Neurospora crassa OR74A: one gene and its partner. The protein of the gene in region 2 purifies or fractionates together with the protein of the main gene of each other region. This does not show direct contact. Links are inferred from orthologs where the notes say so. Each region holds a gene or a part of one and is shown on either strand. Other genes may lie near its edges. The genes, in order: NCU02685 and NCU04606.

Region 1 (7,344 bases), on a different chromosome or scaffold from region 2:
TACGAGTTCCTGGAAAGGTGCAATGTAGACGGCCCGGCCGTGTTCCTTCTTAGCCCAGTGGCGCAGCAAGGCAAACTCGGCACAAACAGTCTTGCCACTGCCCGTTGGTGAGCAGATGAGGACGTTGTTGTCAGTCTCGTACAGGGACTTGAAAGTCTGTGTTTGCACCTTGTTGAATTGTTGCCAATCAGGATACAGCGCGGAATAGTCCTTGGCCTTCAAGGCATTGACCGGTAGTGGTTGCAGGTCAAGCAGTTCGGTGTGAGGAGGGAATCTCTCTGGGAGAATGAGTTTCCTGAACGACACGGGCAGACGTGTCTCGGAATGCATCCACCTGTCGGAAATGACGGAGATAAAATAGTTGGGGGGCATGGGCTCAGTAATGGGTACAGTGAATTCAACAATGTGTTCGTTGGACTCGGACTCCGCATAGTCCTTGCGCAGGATGAACTGATCATGGAAAAGAATGTCTTCCCCATCGCAATCTTCTACGATAATCCAAAAGCTCTCGGAAAGCCCATGGATATCGGCATCCCATTCGAAGTTTGGCGTGATCGCAAGCTCAATGCGCAGCATCGACCTTGTCATGGGCTGCACCTGGGCTTGGACCTCGACGCGGGGGAACTTGGCCACCAGGCTGCAAACAGTCTTGCCCGCCTTGGGTAGTCCGAGAAGCTCGCCCATCCGAGGAGGGTCCAGATCGAAGTAGCTGGAAAAGGGCACGTCGATCCTTTCAGCCTTCCTGATAATCTCAACAGGACAGTTGGGGAACTGTCTCAGCGGCGACATGGTTGGCCACATCCTCTTCTCGGCCATCTTGCACAGGTTCAGGGCCAGCTTAGCAACTGATGCCCATCCCTTCTTCATCGTGATTTCAAAGATAGCCCGAAGAATACGACCAGCAGATTGCGTAACGTAGACCATGTCAGCCATGAGGGCGAGACCCTCCAGCTTCAGACGAGAGATGAACGCCTGTAACAACACGTTGATCTTTGCGGTAGGCTCCTCAATGCTCTCCTTGACCGGAATGGGTACCTTTGCCAGGAGCTTGGCCAATTCCAGCTTTTCTTCTTGCCGAACAGGAATGTACTTGAATTCGGCGCTCTGAGCGAATACTCGGAAGAGTTCGACATCGGTGATAGAGGGTTGAATCAACTTGTTGTAGGTATCCATCGAACCATAGCTGATGTAGTAGTGCGAGGCGATGCGGCCAAGTTCAGTGGACTGAAGCTTTCCGGTCTTCTCGTCATACTTGATTAGATTTGACTTTTTCAGCACAGTAGCAGCGGAATGTATTAGGTCGACACGTTTTTGCTCCAAAGCTTCATCATCCTCGTACTCTGCCCCAACTTGGTAAAGACCAGGAGAGCGAAGCATACGAACAAAGAGGTAGGTATAGCCAAGCCACTCTACACCTTCGTCACGGCTTCTGACATTGCCCAGCACGATTTCAGCATTGAGGTTATCAACCAACTTGCTAGCAAATTGACTTTCAATGGGTAACTGCTGGTTAAGGAGCGAAAGGTAGTACTGCATCTCTCCCTGGGTGGTGATGATGATACCTTCACCATAGGTGTCGAACTGAGGACGACCGGCACGACCAAGCATCTGCAGCACATCCTGAGGACTGAGCTCAACCCAGCTACCTTTTTCAGGCGAGTACACTTGCGTGCCCTTGATGATGACGGTATGGGCTGGAAGGTTGACACCCCAAGCAAGAGTGGCTGTGCACACAAGAACCTGGATATGGCCACTGGCAAACAAATCTTCGACGTCGGTACGATCAGCACGACTCATACCAGCATGATGGATACCGAAGCCATAGGGCAAGATATCCTTCAGATCGGTGTTGTTGACAGAGTTGGAGGCTTCGCTCAGGACTTCACGGGTTCCGGCGTCGTGCTTCAAGATCTGGTTGATGGTGTCCATTTCCAAAGCCTTGTCCCTGATGTACCTGGCGGTCTTTGCCGTTTCCTTTCTGGAATGGACAAAGATGAGCATCTGATTGCGATTCTGTCCTACGTGCTCCAAGACCTTTTGGTAGGTGATATCATTCATGGTCTTTAACTGCTTGATGGCCTTTCTGTCCGTGACGCCGATAAACTCTTGACGGAGGGGGCAAGGGCGGAAGGTACCATCGAAGTGGAAGAGCCCGGTGTTCGTATCCACACGCAGGAAGCTCGCTACGTCGCGGTAGTTGGGCAGAGTGGCAGACAAGCCCACAATGCGAACAGGCTCACCGGTCTGCTCTGTCTTGCGGATGGTTCTGGCGACAATGCTTTCAAGCACAGGACCACGGTCATCGTGAAGGAGATGGATCTCGTCAATAATAATCAGGCGGACCAGGTTGGTGTAGGAGAGATCAGTAGCCTTTCTCGTGATGACATCCCATTTTTCGGGGGTCGTAACGATAATCTGCGTTTCCGAGATCTGTTGCTTAGTAAGTTGCCGATCGCCAGTGAGTTCGGCCACCCTGATACCGAATGGTTCGAGACGCTTTCCGAAGTTGCCGACCTGTTCTTGAACAAGGGCTTTCAAGGGCGCGATATAGACGATCTTGAAGGCGTCCAGGTCGATCTCGCCGGCTTCGTTTCTATGCTTCCCGATCTCACGAAGGATGGTGAGCATCGCCACGTTGGTCTTGCCAGAGCCCGTCGGAGCACAGACAAGCATGTTTCCATCATCACCAAAGGCAGTAGGATAGCACTTTGACTGAATCTTGTTTAACGATTTGGCCGTGCTGAAAGGTATCTGAGCCCACTCAGGCATTTCAGAAATCGGGACATGGGCGTCGCTGGGGTCGTTGCGCTTCTTTGGTGGGGGCACATGGATTTCTTCATAGCCCTTGAAGGTGCGCTTTGTCGAGCCCTCGGGAAGTCGTACTTTGGGATTGGTCATAAGGTGGTTACCCTGATCGAATATGAGGTTCTCCAGGTTTATTAACTTGCGTGGCTGCAGACCTCCGACTAGCTGTCCCTCGGGACGCTCAGGCTTTTGGCCTTCCTTATCAGCAAAGGCCCCCGAGTCAATGTCCATCTTGATGTCCATCTTGATCTTCTTCTGGCCGCCGTCGGTCTTGCCTTCCAGCTCGTCCAGAATCCAACGCAGACCCTCAGAAGCCATCTCCCGCTTGATCGTATTTCTCTCCTCCTCATTCTCAGCTCTGGCCAGCCGAGTAAGCCATACGACCTTCTCCCGGTTAGCAATGAGTTTTTGCACAAGCTCGTGGTGTTCGTAATCAAAAAGCTCCATCAAGTCGTTTTCGATGTCGCGGAGCTGCTTTTCTTCACCACCTGGCTCATCGGGCTCGCCGGAAAGAGTCTTGAGCGCAGACATTGTCTTATCATGCTGGATATGTGCGTCGGGATATAGCCGGCCAATCTGGCGTTGTAACCAGAACGCATCGATATCTCTGGCGGGTATGGAATTGTCGTCAGACCCGCTTTTCTTCCCTTCCGGTGCTGAATCGATGACCATGGCCTCGCCGTTCAGAATATCTTCGACCACCTCCTCCTGACCTCCTTCACCATCGACCACCTCGTTGCTGTCAGGCAGCTCTTCATCCTCCGCAAAATCCTCCTCATCGGAAGATTCGTCCCGAACAACATCAACCATGCCATCATCATCTTCATCGTTCTCGAAGTTGACCGCAACACCCTGGCGACCGTCAATCTCGTCGTCGCCTTCTTGCCTAGCATCGCCCGCATCCTCGTCTTCATCTTGAGCGTCGTAATCCGTGATCTTTTTGCCGAGATTTATGAGCTCGTTGAACTGCTTGGGCCCCATCGAGACTCCAAGAATATCATCAACCTCCTTCTTCTTGTCAAAATCCTTCAGGTCGTCATCCTTGAGATATTCGAGAACCGCGTCAGCAGCACTGCGAACGACCTCATGGGGCACGTCGCCCAAGTGTTCGGCGACAATGGTGAGGATAAGGTTGAAGGCATCGCGCGTCGGCTGCGTTCGAGGGCGGTAGCGGAGACCTTCGATAAGCGCGTCGGCGCCAGTAAGAATACCTCCACCTCTTGTAGCGGACTCGAGTTTGCCCTTCTTCTTCTCTCGTTGCAGGATATCAGCACCTTCCCTTAGACTGCCCCGCTCGACGTCGGGCATGGCGCCCGCCTTCTTGGGCTTTGGTGCTGAGTCGCGAGCGACTCTGGAGCCCATATCTTTGATGGACAGACGCCCGGCTAGGGACTCGGGGTCTCCCGTGGCCTCATCGGTACGCCTCGTGACGAAACGACGGTCCGCCTGGAGAACCAGGTTGGACATGGCCGAGTATTTATATTGCGACACATCGCGGTGGTGGTCCGTCATCTTGCCAGCTCGGAGAAGAAAAAAAGAAATCTATGAAATGTTTTGAGGTATACGTCAAGATCGAAGTAGAGGTCGTAGCGGATGGAAGAGTCTCGATCTGGTGATATCTTCAACTCGGCCTTTGGGGATAAAATGTGCTTGTTCTTGCGTGCACGCAGTGGCGATAAATTAGCCCGAGCCCGGCCCGAACCAAGCGTTGGTTTTGCTGGCTGATAAGTAGTATTTCGCCGGTCGCATCGATGGGTAGATCAAGAATCTGGGGTCGGGCGGAAACAGAGATGATGGGTTTCCGACAGAAGTCTGTCGCGGTTGTCGCGAAAGGAAGGTTGGAGTTTGGCGTTCAGTTTGGAAAGGTTGAGCCAGAGGCGTGGTTCTTGCCAGCCAGCAGGAACTTACTTGGCTTGGTAGGGGTGGCAAGCGGTGCAGAGATAGGTGTGGCTCCAGTCATGACGGCTGGAAATTTTTATGCAATGCTGCCGTCGTCGACTCTCATTGGCTGCCTGGACAGCACGTAAACACACTGAACAGCTGGAGCTTGACCTTGCTGTCAGGGCGGTGTTAGTGCATAGGCGGAGACCCCGTGGGGTGTGTAGAGGTTGGTCAAGGTGCACTAACAAACATCCTAAAGGTGGTAGGCACAATCATCAACACGATCTCAACCCATCGAGCAACTCGAGATAGGTGGCAGAAGTCTGATCCATGGGCTCCGACTTCTACGATACCTCTTTTTCATACCACCAAGAGGGACGAATCGTATTACTTCACGAGCTATTTGAACAATCATTTGAATGCTGGAAACTGAGATACCTCTGGTTCATACCACGCTCTCTTATGTCCGTCCTGCTCACATCGGGCTGAGCTCATCGATGATCACAGTCATTCACAATTTGACCAATAAGCTGTTTTATGCCTTGATATGAAAAGAAGCCAATACTGATAGACAGGTCAAGTTGGAATTATCTACACGATGGATTCCTTTCGAGAAACGCTAGAAGCTGTTCAGAAGGTGCTGCAACCATACACCAGGCCTCGCGAGGAAGCCGCCCATATCAGACGGATCTTGACACTTCACCTCAGTTCGGGCTTGAAAGACGGAGCAACGCTGACAGAACCGTTGTCTCTCACCGAGTCAAGTGAAGTACCCTCCTACTCACAAGATACTAGAGGTCTGTATAGGGAATTCCTCGAAGCATTGCGCGCGAACATCAAAGCCCGCAAAGAATACCACACACTCTCACAAAAGCGCAGTCATCATGAGGTTTCTGTCCCTCAACCAACAGAAATACAGTCTAACTACCTTCTCAACCATCTTACCAACCTCAAAATACAAAAGAAGCAAGAGAAACTGTTAGTGGTCAAGAAAAACCTTGACCTCTTGAGGCAGAAGCCGGCGGCATCACCGGATTTCCTAGACCACCAGAAACTTTTCAGAGTTTGCAGACCGCTACCTGAGGTTCCAACCGAGATTATCAACTCTCTAGCGCTCGAGGAAACGTCGGAGAACATCACCGCATCTAGCAGTGTCCGGCTCGAGGACCTTGTAAAGACACTCGAACACCGTACCTTCCAAACGAAACTGTCACTTAAACAGGAAGAGACCCTCCTCGAGAACGCGAAATCCCACCCCTTCACCGTGCAGCCGGATGAAATCAACCCAGAAGCAAAGCTTCAAGCATTAAATGCCACTCGTACTGAGCTGATCAACTGGGTCGAGACCGAGCTAGGGAAAGCATCCGGAGAGGAAAAAGACGGAGGAGGAGAAAGGGCTGGACAAGATGACTTCCAAGTCCAACGGGACCAACAGCTCGCACACAAAACCCAACTCCTTAAGCAACAACTCACCAGCATCAAAGAAAAATACGCCGAGTATCTCTCCATGCGAAAAGCTCTCCTAGAGCTGGTCACCACCCAACTTCGCTCCCTACCGTCCCTTGATTTCCCCGCCATCACTGCCTTTTCCTCCTCTCCTTCAGCGGCATCTCCTGAGCGATCTTCAACACAAGCAGTAGCAGCAGCGGCAGCAGCAGAGGCGTCTACACCCGCTCCCATAATAGACCACCTTCTCACCCCAACCCTCACCCGCCTCCTCACCCTCTCTCACGAACATAAAGGCCTCATGGCTCACAAGGCCCACGTAACCACCCTCCTCACCAAGCAGCTGAGGGAAAACGCCCAGGTGCTGGATCACCTGGTGGAAGAAAGCCAGTTGATACCCGCCCACGCCACGGCAGTAGTAGTGCAGAAGAAGAAACAGGACGATGACCCCAACGCCATGATGTCATCGCGTCTAGTCAACCCGTGGGTATCAGCTGCCGACTCGGCCAAGATCGCAACTTTTGAGGTGGTAGTGGAGAAAATTGAGAAAGGGCAGATAGCGCTGGAGGGAGCAATTCGCATGCTAGGCGAGGCTGATCGGTTGTTGGGACGTGGGTTGCAGCAGCAGCAGCAGCAGCAACGACAGCAGCCGGTTAAAGCGGCTTGCGGAGAGGAGGAGGGTAATGATGATGATAATGATGGCGATGATGATGAGGTGGGCGAGGAATCTGACATATGGCTTGTCGAAGGGCAGAAATCGCTGAAAATCACAAATGCAACTGGTGGATCGGGACTTGGGACGAGATACGATGAGGGAGGCAGGAAGGGGAAGGAGACAATTGGTCACCGTGAGGGAGGGAGCTTGAGCATGTGGAATATGGTGGATGTGCATGTAGGACTAGAGAAGTCTGGGTAGAGGCAGCCATAACTATCGTGTGTTGCGACGGGAGACACCTCGGAACACAACTGGTGGGCGAGGTGCCAGGGATAAAAGACCATTGTCAAGCATTTGTCAAGAAAGAAGTCTAGGACTAGAAACACCAAAATATGACCTTGTAGTGCGATGTAAATGACCTGCCATTTTCTGTTGCCCAAACCGAAACTCCGAACCCAGTGATATGTCGCCTATCTTTGAACCATCTGCTTCTGTCGTACCCTTTCAGACTCTTTAAGCTTTGGCCGTTACCTCCCAGCCATGATACCCGATATCCG
Region 2 (7,292 bases):
AATATCATCTGTCGTCTACCTTCCCCAAGCCACTTACACAACAACAACACAAACAAATCAACACTCAAAACAACCACTCTCGCGATAATCGCAAACCACGCAATAATTACAACACACATACTAAACCTTAATACCACAACAACAACAACAACATCCAAAATGTCCCAGTCTCGCATTCTCCCCATTCTCGGCGCCGGCGTTGTCGGTCTCGGCGGCTACTACATCTACAAGTCTGGAGGCAGCCCTTCGGCCGCTGAGAAGAAGTTTGAGGGTGCGTATCATCCCATCACCTCATCACACCCTCCGTCTCTCTACTAATTTCTATCCCCAACACATTGGCGCAACGATGCTAACTATGTATCAAAACCAGCCGACCTCCACCGCGGCGCCGCCAAGATCAAGTCTGAGTTGCCCAACTCTTCGCAGACCAACGCCCGCCAGGAGGGTGCCCACTACGGCAAGGAGATCGGTGGCAAGATTGATGAGGCTGTAAGTTCTTTTCTTTTACCTTCATTCACCACCACTACTCCTCCTCCTCCTCCTCCTCCTCCTCCTTCTCCTCTCCCACACGCGAACGCAAACAAGTGCTGACAAGTGATGATGATGATACTGCGAAACAGGTCTCCCAAGCAGACAAGACCTACTCTTCAACCAAGTCGCAAGCCGAAGCCCTCGCCAAGGACACCAAGGCCGAAGCGCTCAAGAAGATTGACCAGTTCGACCGCACCGTGGAGCAGAAGGCTGCCGAGGCCAAAGCTGGAGTTTCCAGCTGGTTTGGTAGCGGCAACTCCAAGTAAATTGGCGGCGATCCCCAAATAAACACCGAAACTAATAACGACGGCAAGTTCGACGGACGAAGGGAAAGCATGTCAGGCGTTTGTTTATGATTGATAATGATGAAAAGGTTAATGATATCATGAGTTTGGGGGGGAGGAGGTTAGGGTTTGCTACGTTACGCACGCTAAAGCTAATGCATCATCCATGAATGATTCGGGAGTTCTAGGACTTGTTAGGACATTTGAAAGGACTTTATGGAACAAGTTAATTCGAACAATTGCGAACCATCAAAACAAAGAAACATAACAGCCCCGATCGTGATTGAATCAGATGAAATTTGCGCTGCTCTAACGAGTCTGTTTGTCTTTTTTACCCAAACCCAGGGCTGATCATGCCTCAACACCACATTAGCATCACAAATAGTCCGTCTACATAGTAAACAACCCCCCTCAAGACAACGTCTCTGCCACCAACTTCAACACCTCGTCCGTCTTCTTTCCCGCATTTTTCGGATCCTTCGCCACCCTCGTCCACTCCTCTCCATGCCTAGGATCCACCAACACGCACTTGGCCACCAAATCCGCCCTCTTCTCCTCCGTCCCATGCTGCACCAAAAACTTGTAATACCACGCCCACGTATCGCCCACATCGCGATCCAGCAACAGCGCCTTCTCGAACCAGTTCTGCGCCCGGTCCAGCTTCCTTTCCGCCCACAGAATTCTCGCGGCCGTGACCAGCAGGATCGGATCGTCTTCCACCTTTTTCACCGCCTCGGCAAGCAGCGATTTCCGCTGCGTGCGCGGCTCGAGGTTGAGGATCCTTTCCGCCCACAGCAAGCCCGATTTGGGCATCTGCTGTAACGCTTGCGCCATGAGCGACTTGGCCTGGTTCAAGTTGCCCGCGCGCCGCTCGACGCGGATGAGTTCCGTCCATAGCTCCGGGGACTTGGGCACGGCTTGTCGGGCGCGGTCGAGGACCGAGCGCGCCTTGACGACATTGTTGGCCTTTTCTTCTAAACGAGAGTACAGAAGCCAGAGCGGGATGGACGAAGGGACGGCGCGCACGCCGGTGCTGTAGGCTTCCCGCGCAGGACCAAGTTGGCCGAGGTCTTCGTAGATTTGGCCCTTCATCATCCAGAGTTTGGGCTTGGAAGGGAAGAGCTGTAGGGCCTGTTGGACGAGATCCAAAGCGGCCTCGTTGACGCCTTGTTGACGCTCAAACGCCACGGAGCGCATCCACACGCGATCGGTGGGCGCATTCTGGCGCGCGGTCTTGAGGAGTTCGCGGGCTTTGTCGATGAAACCGTTGTCGGCTTCGAGCTTGACGGCCGCCAGCCAGATGTCCTCGCTGTCCGGGTTCTGCTTGAAGGCGCGGGCAAGGACGAGGCGTGCCTCGTCGACGCCCGCCTCGGCGGCTTTCTCGCGCGCGAGCATGAGCCAGAAGACTTCGTAGTGCGGACAGGCCTCGACGGCCTTTTCGAGCGCGTGCCAGAGGTCTTCCTTGCTGCCGTGGTTGCGCTCCAGGTCGATGGCGGCCGTGTAGAGCGATTTGCTGTTGGGGAAGACGCGGATGGCGTAGGCGTAGATGGCGCGCGCTGTGGCGAACTTGTCCCGGTTGATGGAGGCGCGCGCGTCTTCCATCCAGAGCTCCTTGCGGTCATCGTCCTCGTCGAGACCCCAGCCAAGCGTCTCTTCGATGATGTTGCTGCAAGTGATGACGGCGCCTTCCTCTTCGCACTTTTCTGCTTCGGCGATCCATTCCTCGCGCTTGGGCATGGCGTTCTGCTTGGCGAGGAACTTGACGGCGTTCTTCATCACGGGCCGCTTCTTGCCTTCGCCTAGTTGTTCTTCCAGGCGAGCGGCGGCGATCCAGAGTTCGTGCGAGTTGGGAAGCTTCTTGACGGCCTTGTTGAGAACCTTGCGGGCGTTTTCGGGAGTCTCGAGACGGGCCAGTGCCAACCAGAGGTCGAGCGACTCCGGGATAAGCTCCGTCGCCTTGGCTAGTAGAATGCGGGCGTCTTCGACGTCCTCCTCGAGGTTGACAGCCTCCTTCCATAGCGCCTCGGACTCTTGGTTATGATCGAGAGCTCTCCGGATAACCTTCTTCTTTGATCTAGGGTCGTTTTCCAGCTTCATCGCTTCCACCCAAAGCTTGACCGAGTGTGGGTTGGCTTGAATAGCCTGTGCCGCAATGACCTTGGCGTTCCGGTTGTCGTTCAAATGAATGTTTTCCAGCCAAATATCCTCGCTCTTCGGGCAGTGTTCGCAGCCCTTGGCAATCAAGCTGCGGGCAGCACCAGGCTTTCCCGCCGCGATTTCCAATCTCGCTGCAGCAATCCAACTGGCTGCCTGTTTGGGGTTCGAGTCGACAGCCGACTTGAGCATCTTCCTGAACTGCTCAATGTCTCCAATGCTTTGTTCCGCACCCTGCATGCTCGACAGCGATGTCAGGTAGCCCTTGGGGTCGATACTCGTCGCGCTTCCCGCCGTGGCCACGCTACTCGACTGTGATTGCTGTTCCAAGCGCGCCCTCAGCACCTTGTCGCGAGCCGCACCGATCTTTGCGAAATCTGTAACTGTGCCATCCTTGTTGACCCCTTCGGTGGCGGTGCCGTCTTCTGCAACGGTGGTACCGAACTGGCCGGAATCTCGCGCGGCAGCGAGGACACTGTCGGGAACGGCGTAGAAGCGCTCCATGCGAGCCTGGCGTGCCCTCTTGGTCCTGCCGGTAAGGTCCTTGGGATCTGGTAGGTTTGCCCATTCTTCGTCGGTGACCGTCTCGAGCGCTCGTTTGAGGCCGGCGAATTGCTGTTGGATTTTGGGGTTCTTTCGTTCGTACTCTAATCGTTCGGCTTCTTCTCGTGCTTCCCTGTGAAAATGCGATTTCTTGTCGGTACTCTGCTTTTCATCTATCTTGACCGATAAACCACATGCTTGCTTGAAAGTGTTGGGGAAGGGGTAGAAGGGTGTTTTGTGAATTTATGTAGGATGTCAAGTGATGTATACGAGGTAATGACTAACCTTTGCTTCTGTCGCCGCTTCGCCATCCTGTCGTCTACCTCTTTCCATATCCGATCTGCCTCCTCGTCGTCCTTCTCGTATATGCCGCCGGCGAACAAGCCGACTTCGTTGTCGGGATCCTGATAGCGGCCATCGTCTTCATTGTCGTCGTCCTTGGCCTCGGTCAGACCTAGCTGTGCAGATCTCTTCGCGACGGCCGCCTTGATCTGGTCTTCACTAGGACCCTCGCGCGCGGGACCAAGATCGGATCGTGTAGTGAAACCCGTGGCACCACGACCGAGACCGGCGACGTAGTTCTCGGGTGCGGGTTGACTGAGGAAATCCCGTCTAGACATGGTGGCGGTTTTCTGTATTCGTGATGTATTGTAGAGACGCGGTGGCTAGGATTGTGACCGTGGTGGCCGTAGAGGTAGCTCCAAACATTTGAGTTAGCGGCAAAATACCGGCAGGCTGCAAGTCGAAGTGGAAGTCGAACTCCAGGGCACTGAAGCCTGCCTGCCACTGGTCCAGGCGCTCTTGGCATTTGACGAACGAATGGCAGGCACAGTGCCAAGTAAACAGTCTACGACTCCACCAGTGCTTGGCGGCTTAATTCCACTTTCGTTGTTTACTTCCTCCTATCATTCATCTACCTCCTTTCCCGTCTTCACCATCACCAGTCAGCGGAGCCATGATGGCCATAGAAGACAACTATGACGATATTTCAGCGCTCCTGCCGTCGGCAACTGAAATGGCCTGGCTCAGTGAGGCGTGAAGTGGGACAACTTCACCCAGATGCTCGTCTGCTCTTCGTGTTGCAGCATCACTAAGGGAAATGCATTATTCATCTATGGCAATGCCTGCGATCAGCCTAGCCAACAATGTCCAACTTCAACCTCCCATTTAAATTCTTTCTGTGCAGGTGCGGCAACTACAGCATTTATGCCTCGCACCATTCAACCTTCACGGTCAGGTTAACCGCAAAGGCGGCACCATGCAAGGCGAATATACTCCCTCACCGAGACTTCGTAACACAGGTTTTCCTGTTTACAATAAACATGCTGTACAACGGCACACGATGACTGAGCCTATGCCTTTTTATTCTGCAATGAATTTAGGCTGGGTTTAGCTCCTTGCCGGCCGTCTACCTAGGTATATTTATTCAGTACCACGTCCCTGATTGAGTATACAGCGGGATCCGAGTTCGCACAACTTGAACGTCTGTACACAAGGTGCTTCCAATCTGCATACACTGTCTCAAAGCACTCATGGCGACTGAAGGAAAGCTACTCCAGCGCCGCCCACTCGAACCACCAATGTGCAATTTCGAGACCCTCCTGTTGACTAAATCTCATAAGTATGGGCATCTAGCTCGCTTCTTCACCCTTTACTACCACTCACATATTCGGTCCAGACCTTCTTGCTCGTCCATCACAGGAGAGCTTGATGTGATAGTCATGGAGCCGCTGATCAAAAACCCGATGTCTTCTCATATCAAACACTCATCAAATGACTCCGCAGGTAAGATCTCTTGGAAACCAGGCGGCTTCAGACGTTTTCCCTGGTTTGGGATAATTCCGCTGATCTTTTGTATAAGCTGTGAGTACTCGTTCCTACGTTCACCACAACACTGAGGCTGTGACCAAGTACCGACAATGCTAACTGCAAGGACTAGGTACAGGAATTGCTATAGGAGTCGTTCTCGAGAGCGATGGTGGTTCGGAAAAGAACTGGTCCGGGCTCAGACAACCCGGTGTTTTGTTGGCGTACACATCGACTCTTGCAAACGCGTTGATGGGGCTTGCCTTTGCCCAAGCGGCCGTGATATTCTTCTGGGTCCAAGCAACAACGCCGCTACCAGTTGAGTTCCGGCATCTCTCGGCTGTCAGTCAGTATGATATATCAATTGACACGATATACAGATTAGCAGCCTCCACCATAACTGGGCCGGATCTTCAAGCACCATGGGCGCAGTCAAGTCCATCTTCCAGGGAAAGGCGATTCGCGTCAGTTTAGGTTAGAATTTCAATACTCCCCTGCCCCGGTCTTTACCACATCAGAGATATTATGGCATCATCACTTACGTTTGTACAGTATCTATCCTCGTCACAGTCACGGCCCTCCTTCGCGGTCCTCTGATGCAACGAGCCTCGTATGTTCAAGTGGTCGATGTATGGCAGAACAATACCATTGATCTTCCAGTCACTTTGAATATCAGCAGCCTTTGGGGCAGAAAGTTTGGCAAGTTAAATGTGGAGTATACGCGGCCCATTGGGCAATTCGCTCCTGGATTCTCAGATGTGGTCCGCGACCTTCTAAACAAAGCGCCCATTCGGATGAGAGGGGTATATTGTGAGAACTGCACCTTAACTATCGTGGTGAGATATATTCTAGGCCCAATACTCCAATCATCATAGTGCCATCTTGAGCTGTCGTTTCGCTGGCCACGACTAACTTGAGATCATTGGTTCAGGCATTCGGCTTCGATGTTATCAACTGTACAGAACTAAGAAACAGCTCGGATACATATGATCTCGATTTCAAGGCGATCGAACCACTGAGAGAACATAATGAATTTAGGAAAAACATCATATTTGAGACCTCCGTAAGGCCAGTTATGGACGACGATCTTATTCATCACCCCGATGCCATCTCTTCAAACAGGTCAATGATCCAAATCACCACAAGACGAAAAACTGATACTGGATGCGCCGGTCTGTTTCTTAATCATACATGCAATCTTAAGCCTGGGGCAGTACAATACAATGTGAGTCTTCAGGGAGACATTGCGACTTTGCAGTCAAAGAGCTGGAAAGGTGACAAATTTGTAAAGCCTATGTAAGTTGTCAAAATGCTAGATTTGAGCCTTATCCCATACTTCTTTGTCGAACTAAACCAACACCTCCAAGTTATGCGTATATGCAGGACCTACACTATCCAACGGAGAACACCGTGCTTCCCCTTTGGCAACTAGGAACCTCACTCTTCAGCTCCACCTCTTGGATGCAGTATGCCTTCATACACGATTATTCAATGAACTACGAAGGTCTTATTGCCAACCTGTACGCTGCGAACTGGACCGCCAATGAAGATGGCCTGCCATGCTATCAATACTTCAACGATCCCATGAATTATATCATCGACACTTACCGCGAAATAGCCTTTCGCATGTCTGTTCGTGCCGCTGCCGGTCCTTCCTACGACTATCTTGCAGGCCAAAGTAGCAGCGTACAACAACTACCCGATCTTATGCAAAAAGGCATTCCATATACACTCCACTCCACCCAAGTACAATATGCCGCTGATCGTCCAGCCCTGGTTCTCGCAGTCATAGTCAGCCTTGTCGGACCAATGGCCATCCTGTTCCTTTTCTGGGGCTGGTGGAAGCTGGGAAGAGATTTCTCCATGAGTCCTTTGGAGTTTTCCAATGCAATTCTCCAGCAACAACAAGAGAGGCGCACATCCAGAGCATTAGGAGAGAACCAACGACTAATGAACAATGATGATGACTTAGCC

Evidence for each region.
Region 1: the proteins of NCU04606 (region 2) and NCU02685 purify together in Saccharomyces cerevisiae (affinity purification with mass spectrometry; 9 studies listed by BioGRID, with this or other methods). This does not show direct contact. The link is inferred for Neurospora crassa OR74A from reciprocal best matches to the Saccharomyces cerevisiae genes PRP6 and BRR2.

What each region holds. Positions count from the first base shown.
Region 1 is NC_026501.1:3,196,868-3,204,211, forward strand, and holds the start of NCU02685 (pre-mRNA splicing helicase), read right to left. Parts: upstream 4,432-7,344; 5' UTR 4,318-4,431; coding exon 1-4,317. Other genes in the region: NCU02686 (hypothetical protein), read left to right, coding at 5,285-5,483, 5,598-5,857, 5,909-7,048; NCU02687 (activator 1 41 kDa subunit), read right to left, coding at 7,315-7,344.
Region 2 is NC_026505.1:1,526,200-1,533,491, reverse strand, and holds NCU04606 (pre-mRNA splicing factor), read right to left. Parts: upstream 4,226-7,292; 5' UTR 4,133-4,225; coding exon 3,798-4,132; intron 3,686-3,797; exon of another isoform or gene 3,646-3,685; coding exon 1,227-3,645; 3' UTR 1,093-1,226; downstream 1-1,092. Other genes in the region: NCU04605 (hypothetical protein), read left to right, coding at 160-271, 371-489, 621-797; NCU04607 (hypothetical protein), read left to right, coding at 5,741-5,792, 5,871-5,928, 6,357-6,614, 6,686-7,292. UniProt on the Saccharomyces cerevisiae protein: Participates in pre-mRNA splicing. Part of the U4/U5/U6 tri-snRNP complex, one of the building blocks of the spliceosome.